Linked DNA regions of Alligator mississippiensis. The protein of the gene in region 1 interacts with the protein of each later gene in a biochemical or structural test. Links are inferred from orthologs where the notes say so. Each region holds a gene or a part of one and is shown in the gene's direction. Other genes may lie near its edges.

Region 1 (7,597 bases):
TACAGAAGCCCTCTGCTGTCTACATTAAACATATGAGCAATCCGTGTGTAAGCCTGAACGAACATCAAACAGACATCAGCTGCAGATAGGCACAAAGGCCACTGGGCAGAACACGTAAAAACTTCTCTGGACAATCCATTGCTGACCTCAGGGTAGCTGTTCTTAGGCAGCAAACCTTTAAAATCCAACTTGAAAACCTTTAAAATCCAACACAGACTAGACTGTGTTATGCTCTAAACAGGGATTAAGAATTCTTATCCCATTTAAATTAGTTTTTGTGATTACTTTGTTCCTATGGGTTCTTTTTTTTGCCTCTTCCAGCACTGACCCTCTCTAACTTTCTTTTGTATTCAAATCTCTTTCCATTCTATACACAGCTCTGTGGCACATCATTTCAAAGCATCTCATGAAATGAGCTCTAGCTCATAAAAACTTATACTCTTTCTCTAATTTAGTTAGACTATAAAGTGCAAATCTCTCTTGCCTTCTACCTGAAGATATATTTAATGTGCAAACGGAATAAAGTCCAAACAACAACAAAAAAGATATACTTGGATGTTTAAAAGGGTCAGTTTCACAAAACTGAAAACAACTGTGAACTAAATCAGCTGGGAAAAATGTATTGAAAAATAATATATGAATAATACTTGGGAAAGTTTAAGCCCTGAAAAATCACAGTCCTACAACTGAGAGAGGTGACTGTGGTTTAAAACCAACCTAGCTTACAAAAGAAATGAAAGCAGGTATAAAAAGAAGTAAGAAATAATGAATGGAAAATAGAAGAAAGACAGATCAACAAATATAAATCAGAAGCTAGGGGCTAGATCCATCTATTTGGATGCCTAAGCATGATCCTATTCCATCCTGCTTGAATCCCTGAAAAATAAGTAATGCAAAAGACAGATGGATCCTCCTATTGCTCACTGCTTTTTTGGGATTTAATTTTCAGGCTAGGATAACAACACATTCCAAGCATATTCACATTATCATTTTTTTCAGGCGCTTGAGAAGCCTGCAATAGGATCAAGCTCTTAAGCACTGAATAGACAGAATGGGATCCAGTCCAAAAATTCTAGAAAATCAATAAGGAAATCAAAACAGCACAAAGAGAAATTGATGGCCAACAGATTTAAAGACAATCGGAATAAATTCTAATAAGGGTGGCCAATCCCAACAGCCGATTATTAACCAGGTACATCAGGTACAGATCCAATTGCTGATATGCAGCCTAGCAGCTTGGAGAGCAGCATCTGGCTGGTAAGTCTGTTGGGGAGGGAAGGGGCATGGTGGGGCAGATCAAGGCCCCCTACGGTGAGGGAGAGAGCAGGGTTGGGGCTGGGACAGGGGCAGGCGCTGCCCAGCCGAGGCAGAATGCATGGCGGAGCCATGGGCTGCTTGTCCGGGGGGCGTGAGGGGGAAGGAGAGCAGTTCCTGATGCTGCGTTCACCCCCAGGGGAGTCATGTAGGGCATGTGCTTGGGGTGGGCAGGGATGGTGCTGGGAGGCAGATTTACAGGGGAGGTTGCAGCCACCCCAAAATTTGCCATGACCTGCCTTGAGCGTAGCCCCAGCCCCCCTCTGCCCCCTGCCAGTAAGAGGCTATCACAGCCCCTGGCCCCAAGCCCACAGCAGGCAGCCTGCCCTCATCCTGCACACAAATCTGGGGGGCACATGCCTCCCACGCCTTCCCCATGGGCGCACACATTGGTAAGGATCCACCCCTTGGCCCCTCACGCCCGCTGGGGCTGTCTCACACCCTGTCCCAGCTAGGCAGTGCCTGCCCACAACTTAGCCCCAGCCCCCACTCCCTTGCTCAATGTGGGAGCCTTGATCTGTCCCCCCCACACCCCTCCCCTCCCCCACATAACTCCCCCCAACAGACTTACCAGCTAGACACTGGTATCCAAGCTGCCGGGGTGCATCCCTGACTGCGTGTATGCTACAGCCACGCACAAGCACGCGACTTTTATCGGTGAAATTATCAGCAGTCGGCTTTTTGTAGTCAATAATGTCAATTTTCCTTTTATCAATGTCAATATGAGATGGACTGATATATTGGTGCACCTCTAAATTTTAAAACTAAATGCACAATGAAAAGATGCTTAAAAAACTAACTGCCCACTACTAGATGGAAATAGTAGAACTGTGAATAACACAGAAAAGAACAAAAAAGATATTTCTTGTCTAGATGGGAAAGAAAGCCAACATGGTATGAATACACCATCTACGATAAAGAAAATCTTTCCATTCCAATAGTCAGAGATGATCCAAGCAGGGTGCAGGGCCCCAACCCCGGATGCAAGGAAGCCAGCAGCAGATTGAGCGGCAAATGGGTGGGGGTGCCAAGTGGCCAGACATGTAGACGGCGGCAGCACGGAGTCACCACGGTCGCCCCACCTGGCTCCATGGGGACCCCAAAGCATAAGGCCCAGGGCAGTCACCCCGATTCACCCGCCCCCCTGGGACGGCCCTGCCATAATAACTCAGGAGAACATGAAATAGTAGCTACTAAATATTTAAATCAACAGTTCTGGATAACCTGCATCTATCCAAGAATCATAAACGGTGAAGAATTCTATTAACATTGATTTTCAAAAAATTCCACAGGACTGGAAAAAACTAATGCTCATATATTCAATACAAGTAAACAGGATGACCCACATACTGCATGCCTGACATCAACCTGCACAGCAAAGGAATGCTGATACACAACTTGATTACTAAAGGACTGAGGGAGGGTAATATGGTTCTGACATTTGTCATCCTTCCCTTCCACTCCCTAACTGCCACAGCAGTGCCTGGCACTGACATCCTGAAAACTGCCCTCCATGCTTCAGTCACGAAAGCCTCATAGACCCCTACATTACTTTTGCTCCTCTGGAGCTACAGAAACTTGTAATTTTGACTCTTGTTATTCCGCTACCTCTCACTCCCCTGCTGCTACAGGATCTTCAGGATTCCACATCCTGGGCAGTTGCTTTCCACCCTCCTGTTCCAGCACCACCATGCAACTGTCTGGCCCTAACAGCCAGACCTTTTCTGCATACAACCCAAGGACCACAGGACTGTCTCACCACAGCATTCCAGCAAGTCCCCTCTGGGCCTTCCCAGCCCTGGCTGCTGCAAAATTCAGACTCCTGCCCAATTCCCCCACAGCTTTCCTCATCTGCCAGGACACCAGAGAGCCCTCACCCCATCCTCTGCCTCAGAAACTTCCAGACCTAAAATCCCAACCATCACCAACTTCCCTTCCACAGCCCAACAATGTGGAACCTTGGCAGCCATAAAACCAGAGCGCTGCCCTCATCCCTCCCAACCCCAACATGGCCTGCCAACCCACTCCCCACCAGGCAGGAACCTCCTGGCTCTGACAACGGCCCTCTGCCCAGCAACTGACACAGAACCTCCTGCCCCGATGCCCAACAGCTGCCCCGGCCCTCCCTGCCAAATGCCGCAGAACCTTCCGGCCCTGACGCTCAACAGCTACCCCGGCCCTCCCTGCCAACTGCCATGGAACCTTCCGGCCCCAACGCTCAACAGCTGCCCCGGCCCTCCCTGCCAAATGCCACGGAACCTTCCGGCCCCGACACCCGACAGCTGCCCCGGCCCTCCCTGCCAACTGCCGCGGAACCTTCCAGCCCTGATGCTCAACAGCTGCCCCGGCCCTCCCTGCCAACTGCCGTGGAACCTTCCAGCCCCAACGCTCAACAGCTGCCCTGGCCCTCCCTGCCAACTGCTGCGGAACCTTCCGGCCCCGATGCCTGACAGCTGCCCCGGCCCTCCCTGCCAACTGCCGCGGAACCTTCCAGCCCTGACGCTCAACAGCTGCCCCGGCCCTCCCTGCCAACTGCCGTGGAACCTTCCAGCCCTTACGCTCAACAGCTGCCCCAGCCCTCCCTGCCAACTGGTGCAGAACCTTCCAGCCCCGATGCCTGACAGCTGCCTCGGCCCTCCCTGCCAACTGCCGTGGAACCTTTCGGCCCTGACGCCCGACAGCTCCCACCCACTCCTTGCCGGCTGCAGTACACCCCGATGGCCATGCTGTCCAGACAGCCATTCCTGCCCATGCCGCCCAACTCTTGGGCACCCCACAGGTGTTGGCACGCAACTTTTTTTTCTTTCTTTTTTTAAGGATTTTTTTTCGTGTTCTAAGCCAAATCAGTTCCAAACCCGTGAGTCATTCAAGGGCCAAATGTGACCCTAATTGTTGGCATAAGGTTGCGCTGTCCTCGCCTGTGACCCACGCACACAACCCCTCCCCGCCCGGAAAACGCCGACACCTTTCTAAAGGCTGTGAAGGGAGGGGGACGCAGCATCACCGGCTGCACGTGCTCACGTCGCGCCCGCCCGCTGCCCCGGAACAGAAATGGCGCGCCCTCAATAAAGATGGCGACCGGGTGAAGGTCGCTTCCCCCTGGATCCCTTCCGCCCGTAGTCGGAGCCCAGCAGCGGCCGGAAACAGCTGAGCGCCGGGCCTATTAGAGCGCGGCTCTCCGTCCCCGCCGGGTACTCGTCACCCGCAGAGAGACGAGCCTTGGCGGAAACAGCCGAGCGGCGCCCGGGAGAAGCCGAGCCCGGGGTGGGCGGTGCCAGGCGCGGGGCGGAAAGTGCCGGGCTTGGGCCGGGGCGCGCCGAGTGGCGAGCGGAAAGTGGCGAGCGGGCTCGGAAACAGGCGAAGCGGAGGCGGAAAGAGCCGAGGCCGGGGCGGAAAGAGCCGAAGCGGTGGCGGAAAGAGCCGAGGGGGCCGGCCGTTGCCGACACACCGCAGCGGCAGCAGCCTGGGCGGCCCCGGCCCCGGCAGCGAGCGAGAGCCCGGCCCCAACCCCGAGCCCGAGCCCGGCCCGGCGCCGGGACCCACCCGCCTGGTCCCTCCCTGCCCCGCCGGCCCGGAGCAGGCGGCTGCGGCGCGGCCCCCGCCCCGCCCTCCCGGCCCGGCGCCCCGGGCCCCCCTGCCCCCGCGGCCCGGCCCGGCGCGGCCCCGCGGCCCGGCAGGATGATCAAGCTGTTCTCGCTGAAGCAGCAGAAGAAGGAGGAGGAGTCGGCCGGAGGCACCAAGGGCAGCAGCAAGAAGGCGTCTGCCGCGCAGCTCCGCATCCAGAAAGGTGCCGGGGCCGGGCCGGGGTGTCTGCCCGCCACGGGCCCAGCTCCCACTCGCGCTCCCAGGGCAGGCCCGGCCTGGTCCGGCCCCGGGGGCTGGTGCCGGTCCTGCCCACGTGGGGCGGCCTGGCTGGGGCAGCAGTCCCCACCCCCTCCCCGGAAGGTACCGCCGGGCCCCGCGCGGGGATTACCCCCCACCGCCCGGGCTGCCTGACATCCACGCTTGCCTTCCTGGCCTGGGCCGCGGGTTAGACCTCGCCCGCCTTGCCCCGGACAGTGCGGGATTCCTGTTCTCCTGCCTGCTGCGGGCCCTTCCCTGGGAAGGGATGGGGGGAACCAGGGGTTGCCGCCCACCTGCCTCATGCTGGGAGCCACCTTTGGACTGTACCCCCTGTAAAGGGCTTCTCCCAGTGGGGCCCAGCTCTCCTCCCAGGTGTGTTGAGTAGCCCTCAGCGCCATGCTTGTGGGGCATGGGGCTGAGAGGGCCATCCTGGCCCATTGGGACCAGTTCCCTGCAGTTCCAGGCAAAGCCAAGAATTCCTCAGTGTCACTGCTTCAAAACCTGACACAATTGCAGGGTATGACACCAGAGACACCATTCAGCCTGCCGATGGTGAAAGCAGGGGAGATGAGTGATAGGCATAACTTGTTAACATTTGTTCAAAATATCCTTGGAGAAGGATGCTACCTTCTCACAGTCCATGCTAATCTGCCTAAGGAGAACTGTTCCTTCATGACCCCAAATTTGGCAATTGAACCGATTTTTCTGACTGGAAGAGGAAGATCCTCCAGTCAAAAACGTCCTGGCTTTCTGAGTACTGGCAGAGATGTAAGCACATCAATCAAATACCCCCAGCCTTAGCTTTCATTTGTGGAACCTCATGTTGAGCCCCACTGGCCATCTTCTCTCTTCCTGCTCTCCCTGCTTTCCTCTCCAGTGTGCCCCTTGGATTATGCACCTGCTGGGCACCCATGTTACAGCTGGGGTCTGCCTTAACACGGGACCTGGATCTGCCCCATGCTGCCATGTTGGCCATTGCTACTACCTTGGCACATCTTGTGATTTAAGAGCTGAGAAGCCTCTGTTATGCGACCCCTAAGAGCCCTCTGGTGATATGCCGTGCAGCACAGCTCCTTGCACCTTTCTTCATAGCAATATTAGAGGTCACCCAGAGAGCTACCATTTGCCCCCACTTCTGCAGTGTAGACAGGACAGCAAGAATCCTGGGTAGTGCTTTGTTCATGGTCCTGGACCCCAGAAAAGCTATTAAACTCCCATGGTTCAGGGGTTTGTTCCTGGGTGTCAAGATCTATTCCCCACCATCGGAAAGGTTGGTACTGAGACTGGAAGCCCTGGTGCCCTTTCTATGTTGATCTTTGTCCTTGGTTCTGTTCCTTCTTCTGCGCTAATCACAAGCTGGATTGATTCCTTCTTGCATCTCCAGTAGTTTTGTGGCAGTCGATAAACCCAGGGCTTGCATGGTTCTTGGTAATGAAGGCCAGAATCTTGGTGACAGGGTTTAAATATGACCTCTCCCCTCTTCCAAAATGCCCCATCAAGGACCTAGTGAAACAGAAAAGTCTAGCAGTGTCAGTCTTGTCTGTAGTTTCTGATTAGCCCTGAAGCTTCCCTGATATGTTGGTCTTCCCTGAAACATCCTGTACAGAGGACCAGGCCTAGTCCCATATGGGTCCTTTTTTTTTTTTTTTGGGGGGGGGGGGGAAGCAGTGAAATGGGGCTGGTTCTTATTAGTTTTAGGGTATGGTTGATGCAGAGGGTTGGGGTATCCTTCAGGAGGCGAAGAAGAATGGAGAACATAGGTTCTCCATCCTGGATGTTTGACCACTGGGGTAAACCTTCTTCAGTCTCTGGCCACTAGTTAGTGGCGTAAAGAACAAAACTGCTTCTTAGCACCTAGAGGTGGGATGACAGGCCTTCATTTAATAGGCTGCTGGGAAGAGATTACAGAGACTAGGTGGGATAGCTCGCATGATGAGCACTGTCATGGATGGGTTCAGGAAGGACAGGCAGGGGAGAACAGGAGGAAGAAGACTTGCACTTTATGTAAAAGAGCCATATGATTGCTCAGAGCTCCAGTATGAAACTGGAGATAAGCCTGTTGAAAGTTCTGGGTTAGGGTCAGCGGAGAGTGCAACAAGGATGATGTCATGCTGGGGGTCTGCGATAGGCCACCAGACCCGGAGGAAATGGTGGATGAGGCTTTCTTCAAACAACTAGTGGAAGTTTTCTGATCACAGGCCTTGGTTCTCATGGCGGATTTCAATCACCCTGATATCTGCTAGGAGGATAATATAGCAGTATGTAGGCAATCCAAGAAGTTTTTGGAGAGTCCTGGGGACAACTTCTTGGTGTAAAAGCTGGAGCAGCCAACTAGGTGCTGTGCTTTTGTTGGTCTGCTGCTCACAAACAGGGCAGAACTGGTGGGGAATGTAGTAGTAGATAGCAATTTGGCAGCAGCAACCACAAGATGATCAAGTTC
Region 2 (7,785 bases), on another chromosome or scaffold:
ACCGAGGCTTCCTGCCTAGTGATTTTAATTGATTTGATTTGATTTCAATCAAATCCATCCTAGAATCTGGGTTCAGGGAAGTTGTGCACTCTCTCTATATATGTTTCTTACTTAGTCTATAAAGGTGTATAACTAAGGGTGCAGTGATACAGATTTTTTGGGCTGATACTAACGGCCAATTATTAATGAGCCATATCAGCCGATACCAATCCCATCACTAATATGCAGCCCAACATCTTAGACAGCAGTGTCCAGCTGGTAAGTCTGTTGGGGGAAAGGGGCAGGGAGAGGGAAGAGGTGTGCAGTGGGTTGCAGATCAAGGCCCCTGCAGTGAGGGAGGGAGTAGGGCTGGGACAGGGACTGGGCGGGGGATGGAGCTGTAAGCAGCTAGGGCGGGGGGGAGGGGGGGAGCAGCTCCCTCCGCTGTGCACACCCCAGGGCAGGCATGGGAGGCACATATCCCCCAGATCAGTGTGCGGGGCAAGAGACCAGGTCAGCACCAAGCTCTTCTCGGCGGGGGGGCGGGGGGGGGGGTGCTGGGCCAGGGCTGTGCTCAGGGTGGGTGGTGGCAGCGCCCCACATTAAACCTGGGACACTGGAATGCCCAATCCGTTTCCTTTCATCAAGATCCTTGGCAGGCTGCCACTGTGCATGCACTGAGAGCGCTGCTTGAGCAGATGAAGTCACATGAGCAGAGGTCCTGGGAGAGAATCCGTCTTGTCCACAGCACTCTACGCACACTTGTCACCACATCTGGAGCCAACAGCACTCAAGATTCCCTGGAAGCACAACTCAGAAACTCCAACAATTTGGAAATGTGAATGCACTGGCTTTTCTACCTCATAGTGGCCCTCAAAGTTGAGGAGAACAACAGTATATGGAATAAGATACAACCATAGGCAGAGATAGAAAAAAAATTGGAGGGAGGGGGTGCTGAGTGTGTGCAAGCATGTGTACCCCCCCGCAAAAGTTTGTGGGGGAAGGGGGGGCAAGAAGCAAAGCTGGGGCTGGGGCTGGGACTGGACAGAGATTGGGGCCGGGGCCTACTGCACCCATGCAGCCGTTTCTCCACACCAGCCCCAGTCACAACAGGTAATGGACTACATTAGGGGCCCAATCTTATGAAGTTCCCAGAGGCTCAAGTGAGGCCAGCCTTGACTGCGCTGCCAGATCAGAGGGGACAGAGCCCCCAGGACACCCACACCTGCCCTGGGAAGAGTCCAGTGACTCCTCCAGAGCCATGGCACCAGGCCCCCAATCTTTGCACAGGGCAAGGGTGGGCTACAGCTGCGCTCTGCCTGCTCCCCACCTCTGCACCTCACTGCAGCCTTTGAAAGCGGCACAGCACCATGTGCGTCCCACTCCTGTGCAGGCCAGGCAGCGAGGCACATGGTGCCGCTTTCAAAGGCTGCAGCGAGGTATGGAGGCAGGGAGCAGGCAGAGCGCAGCTGCAGCCCGCCCTTGGCCCCGTGCAAAGATCAGGGCCATGGCTGCCCCCCCACCACCTTAGCTATCCTGTGCCATGGCTCTGAAGGAGCCGCCGGGCTCCAATTGTCCCACAACCCAGCCAGGGCCCCATTCACCGTGAATGGGGATCCATCTGGGCAAGTTGTAGGGCAATCAGAGCCCAGCAGCTCATCCTGGGGTGTGGCACAGGGGAGCCCTGCAGTGAATTCAGTGGCAGGAGCCACCCTCCCACACCCCTATACAAGCCGCTGGGCTCCTGTTGCCCCACAGCCCAGCCCAGCTGGGGCCCCATTCCCCGTGAATGGGGACCCAGCTGGGCCAGGTCATGGGACAATCCCCACAGTGCAGCAGAGAGCGGGGCAGGGGTGAATGATTTGCCCCTGCCCTTACTCCACTCCCTCCTACACTGTGGGGGTTTTAAGCTGCCTCCCCCAAGCCCAGGCAGTCAAAAGAAATGTACAGGCATGCTGTGCTGGGTTGACTGATCCTGGCATGCTTCTCCCCCCTGCTCCAGCAGCCTGTGGCTGGGCTGCCCTGGTGTTTGTGGGGGGCTGAACCTCGTTAGCCCCCCCCCCTTACACCACCTATGGATGCAACCTGCTATGCTGTGGGGGCCACTCTAGCTGGTGCAGTAGTGCTACTGGTCCAGGCAGATGAGCAGTGACTGATGGGAGCACATTGTCCTGGCCACCTAGGATGACAAGCTGTGGCACATGAACTTCTGTATGACCTGGGCAATCTTTATGGAGATTTGCATTGAGTTGACCCCCCAGCCTACAGTAGTAAAATACCAGGATATGGGAGACCCTTGACCATGGAGAAGCACATTGCCATCGCTGTGTGGAAGTTTGCTACACCTGACACTGTAGGGAACTACTTGAGCATTCAGAAATCTACAGTGGGGGAAAATGCAGTTCAGGAGGTGGGCTTGGTATTCAAGGATGTACTAGGACCACAATTCATCCACCTTGCCAACCCACAGGTGGCTGTAAGGACTTTCCCAACCCCATTACCGTTTTTGGCATCGATATCACTAACTTGTCCATGGACACCGAGCCAGTGACTAAACCAGCTGCAAGGGTGTCTTCTCTGTGGTGCTGCAGGTAACCATAGACCTCCAGGAGAGTTTCATACACATGAATGCTGCGGCAGTGGGGGAAAGGGGGGGAAGGGATTGAGCAAGGGTCATGATGCCAGGGTATTCTACAACTCTGGACTCCCTGAGCTCATGGAGAGGGGGAAGTTTGCCCCTGAGATTTCCAGTCCCTGAGATTCCAAGCATTGAGGTGAGGAGTGACCACCCCCACTGCTAACTGAAGACCCAGCATACCTGCTCCACCCCAGGCTCATGAAGCCTTACACCTTCTTTACCTACTTTCTCAGCAGCTGCTGCATAGGTGTGGGGTATGTCTGTGTGTGCCTCAGGGACCACTGGCAAACATTAGGAGTCCACTTGGATGTAACCCAGTGCTGTCACCTCTACCTGCATCCTTCATAACATTTATGAAACCAAAGGAAAAATTTTCCATGAAGCCTGGGCTGAGGATGCATGGGAGCCGGCACATCACCAGGTTGCCACAGCTCTGGAGCACCCAGGGAGTCAGGAAATGCTCGAATGTGCTGGTGCAAGAAGCCTTAGCTATTCCAATCCCACAGACTTCAGACCCATGAAGGGAATGAGTAGGGGTTGGTAACCTGGGGCTGGGTATATTTGCAATTTTCTGCTTCCCCTTCTCACCTACACAGGAGTTCCATGAAGACCAATTGCTTGCAGATTACTGAGCCCTGTGTGGTGGTACCGAAACTGGGGGCAACCAGTTGTGGAGTCGGTCCCAAAGCAGCTGCCACCCAGGAAACAGAAGCAGGGGTCCGGACAGGCCACCAATACACAGTGATACCTCCACCCCAAATAAGCCTGCCAAGTGGGGTTCATGGCAGGCAACTGAAATGAACTAAGTGGCTTTCCAGGGAAAGTCTTCTTAAAGCAAGCCCTTGGGGTACCCCCACAGCACCCAGTTCCCCAGGATCAATAAGCAGGGATCCAGATAACCCCCCAGCACCTTATGACCCCCCCACCCTCACCCCCAATGAACCTGAGATCCTGCTAAGGGGGGGGTCCACTGCAAGCCACTTAGCTAAGCAGCTTTCCAAGTGGAATCCTAAAGCTGATTTTACCCAACCTATGGGGCAACCCTGGAGTAAGGGTGCATGCCTTAGCCAGCGCAAGCAATGAATGTTTGGGCAGTAGTTCTTTTGCCCTACAGGGGTTAGGCTAGGGTTGAGGAGCAGTGCAGACTGGGATGCCTGGAGGACTAAACAGACACCAGTTATGGAAAGCTCACAGTTCCCATAAAGTCAATTCATCGCAGGCCAGATTCATAAGAATTGAAGTGCTCCATCCTAAACCATCCTGGCAGGTGTGTCTGCTTGCTGGCATATTAAACCACCTGCAAGACAGTCCAAGCATCGAGCCTGTCCATGCCATGGCTTTGCTCCAGTGGGCTGCCCCAAGAGGACGCAAGGAGGTTTAACACCACCACTTCCTGCAGGCCTGCGTAGCTTCGCCATCGCTCCTCCGGTACTCGGTGAACCTGACTGCCCACCTCCAGGCACTGCATGCAGCTGTCTAGGCCACCAAGAGACGCTGCTCGCCTGCAGGACAGGGCAGGGTGCTGCGACGCGCCTCTGTCCTGGGCGGCAACAGCTGGAGCATCAGGGACTCCCGGGCCTCAAGGCGTCCCCTGGCCCCTCCCCAGGATCTCCGTGGTCTGCACAGAGGCCGGAACCGGCCACCATGCCGGGCCTGGCCCCGGCTCCCAGCACAGGGACAAGGCCAGGCGGCTTAGGAGCAGCACTGCCAAGTCCGGGAAGGAGAGAAAAAAAAACAAACAGCAGCACTGCCTTTAAGAAGAAGCCCAACCCATTTCAAAGAGAGGGGAGTGGGGGGGGTCGCTCCTCAGCCACCGCTCTCCAGCAACTAAAGCACCTTTTCAAGAAGACAAACCTCAATTCCATTTATTCTAAGATTTGGCAACCGGTTTAATAGCATGGAGAGGGGGCGGGGCCTCCGGCAAGGAGGCGGAGCTCGCCGAACCCTCTCCCACTGCTGGTCCCGCCCCCCAAGGCGGGCTCCCCGCTGGCCCCGCCCCCGCGCGCTGTCACTTCCTGCTCGGGGGTTCGCGTCCGGGTCGCACTGCCGTTCCCTGGAGCCGCCGCCGGGTCCCCGCTGCCCGCTCGTGTGCGGCGCGCGGCTGCCGCCGGCCGGGCTGTGAGGGGCGGGGCGGGGCGGGGCGGGGCGCGGCGATGCCGGTGAAGAAGAAGAGAAAGTCGGCGGCGGCAGCGGCGGCAGCGGCGGACGAGACCGGCCTCAAGAAGTGCAAGCTCGGCAGGTACCGGGGGCGGGGGTGGGCCAGGGGCCGCTCGGGCTCGTGCTGCGGGCCAGGGGGCGTGTCGTGGCCCCTCAGGGCCGTGCCCCCAGCGCCGCCACGGAGCTGCGGGGCCTCCGCGGAGCATCGTCCCGGTGCTTCGGCTCTTAAGAAGCCTCGGAAGGGCTCTTGCAGGGGGCGAGCGGGGGACTGGGGAGGCCAGGAGCCGGGTAGAGCCGTCCCGGGGGACCAAGATGAAAGGGGGGGGGTTGGTTTCATTTTTGACATGTCCAAAGGCTTGCAAGAAGCAGCTCTCAGGTGCTGCCCTAGGGTCGGTGTCCGAAACCCCACGAGATTCGTTTTATGGTCACGTTTGTTACTACTTTTTTTTTTTTTTTAATCTTAAATGGACGGAGATGTTATTGCAGTGCATGCAGCTCATCACACCAAGCACCATCTTGCAACTGGTTGAATAGTCTCTCTTTTTTTTCTTTTTTTCCTACTGAATTTTTAACATGAGGCACTGGAAGACCAGTACATGCAGCATCTCGCGGGGATTCTTCTTTTCTCAGTTTGACACGTCTCATTTTCAAATTGAATCATGAATCAGTCACCTGGTTCCAAATCCCCTTTGTCATTTTTCACCTTTTTTTTTTTTGCAGGGGGTGGGGCAGTGTAGCATAAGCTGAAAAGATTAAATTCAACACTTGAAACTCAAATCACAAGTGCTATAGTTTTGTATTAGGGTAGAGATATGAAGACAAGTTTTAAATTACCCCTGGCTGCTGTTTGAATTGCAAGAGTTGTTATTATAAAATAGCATGATGTCAGCTCCAGGGTAGAGGGAACTGTGCACATCCCGGTGACGCTGTAGGAGAGTTCAGGCTCTTAGTACTTGCATTGTAGTGTTGCTTGTTATGGTTTGTTACTTCTCTCCATACATATACAAACCCTATGACTTCTTTAAATGAAATGATAATGTGAATGATGTGGACTTTAAATTGAAAAAGTGTGTGTAACTGGAGTATTTGAATATAAATAGCCTGAATTTCTTGTTGAGCTCTATCGGTCCCATTGATTTAAGTTTGATTTGTGCTGCTTAGTGCTTCTGAAAGCCACTTGCAGTTCAGTATCTGTAAAACTGATAACACTTGGCGCACACATATGACATACGATGTCTAACTGTAGATATAAAGATGCACGCTGTTAATGTTAGCTTGACCTAATAATAAATAGCTTGAAATTCATTGTACAAAATCTTTTTAAACATGAGGAACAGTAGATATAACATCTTGGGTATCTTTGTATATTTCTATAAGCTATTGCAGATCACAAGCCTCTGGTAAAGTGATAAGTGGAGAGGAGCATTTTTCAAGCAAGAAGTGCCTGGCCTGGTTTTATGAATATGCAGGTATGAATGTAATAGCAGCCATGTTTAAATGTTAATATGGTTTACTGGGAATGGTTAAGCTGATTTAACTAAACAAATTTAACTAAATGTATGCCTCTTCACATTAATATTTTTCTGAATACATAGACCACAGGAAGCATGCAGATTCATATTTCTTGAATAGTTATGTTTACCCAGCTTCTTGTGTATCTCTTTCTTTTCCATCTTTGTCCTTTCTTTCCCACTTAACCAACACTTCAGTTACCTTAAGTAAAGTTACAGTAATAGGCAACTGCTCTTACACTGTATAGTGGTGATTCAGATATGTGTCCTTCCTATTGATTTTTTTTTTTTTGGTGCAGGTGGGTAGTATGGACATGGTTCCCTGTACAGTTTCATTGCATTCAGTTTAAACAAAATTAAACTATGCAGTAGATGAAACAATTAGGGGAGCCATTAAATAGTTAATAATTCTGTCCTATCTTGTTTACACTACAGCAAACTGATATTGGCTTATACTTATTAATTTTTGTGCAAATCTGTATATAACTAACATCTCAAACGCCAAAGGATTGTTACAAATATGTTAAAAGAAGCTCTCCTTTAACTGTTTTGTAACTAATTGTTCATCTTAACAAAAGTATCTCCTTTGCATAATTTATTAAACACTCATGGGGAGAAGGGTGGCTTTTTGTCTCCTGTTCATTAACAGTTTCCAAGGCCCAATTTAATTGTTTAATGATTTGCAGAGCCTTCCTTTTTTAGGCTGCTTGATAAAATCTATCATAAATAGTTGGATGACAGGATGTCATTGCTAGCCATTTCCAATGAGTTCGTAATTTTTATTGGGTAGAAATTGGATCAAGCATCTGCATCAAAACTGACACTAGTTAGTACTCCTATTGACAGCTTTTCCAGAAACGAAGTAGTAGTAGAACTACCCTTTTAGCCCTAACAGTGATACCTCCAAAATCAGGTTTGAGGCATATTAGCTTGGACTCTCTATCTGCCACAGCTTTCTTGTGAGGAAACTAAAGGATTTCAGTCACTTGGGCTTGTGGTTAATAATGGTTTTGTATGAACTAAATGCAAATGGCATTTAGTTTTTATTATATGGAGTCTTGGGGTATAAACGGATGTTGCCTTAGTGCCGCCATAAAATCTTTTATGGTGGCACAAAGGCCAAGCAGACAGACTTCCATACCCCTTGTCACACACCACAAATGCCCAAAGTTTGTGGCTGTGACATGGGTATGTATGATCTTATGCAACTGTTTTGAAGCCAACCTCTGTTTGTTTTAAGGCAGGAGAGTGCAGGCAGCCTGGAGCTGCTCTCACTCTCCAGCCACCCCAGGCAGGTGCCCCCAGAGCTTCAGGGGTCTGATTCTGGCATGCCCTGGAAATCCCCATTCCTGGGGCATGTGGGACCAGGCCTCTGAACCCCCAAAAGCTCATGTCAATGCTCCAGTACAAAATCTTATACTCTGGCTGATCAGAACAGTCCTGGGGCTGGGATGCCAGTGTGTTAACCTTGCTCATGTGCATCCCAGCACTAGAATGCCA

The links.
Region 2: the proteins of UBE2M (region 1) and DCUN1D5 form a complex in vitro, tested with the Homo sapiens proteins (3 studies listed by BioGRID). The link is inferred for Alligator mississippiensis from reciprocal best matches to the Homo sapiens genes UBE2M and DCUN1D5.

The regions. Positions count from the first base shown.
Region 1 is NC_081828.1:75,598,545-75,606,141, reverse strand, and holds the start of UBE2M (NEDD8-conjugating enzyme Ubc12), read left to right. Parts: upstream 1-4,529; 5' UTR 4,530-4,992; coding exon 4,993-5,101; intron 5,102-7,597.
Region 2 is NC_081824.1:441,125,974-441,133,758, forward strand, and holds the start of DCUN1D5 (DCN1-like protein 5), read left to right. Parts: upstream 1-4,663; 5' UTR 4,664-4,770; coding exon 4,771-4,856; intron 4,857-6,151; coding exon 6,152-6,243; intron 6,244-7,785. UniProt on the Homo sapiens protein: Contributes to the neddylation of all cullins by transferring NEDD8 from N-terminally acetylated NEDD8-conjugating E2s enzyme to different cullin C-terminal domain-RBX complexes which is necessary for the activation of cullin-RING E3 ubiquitin ligases (CRLs).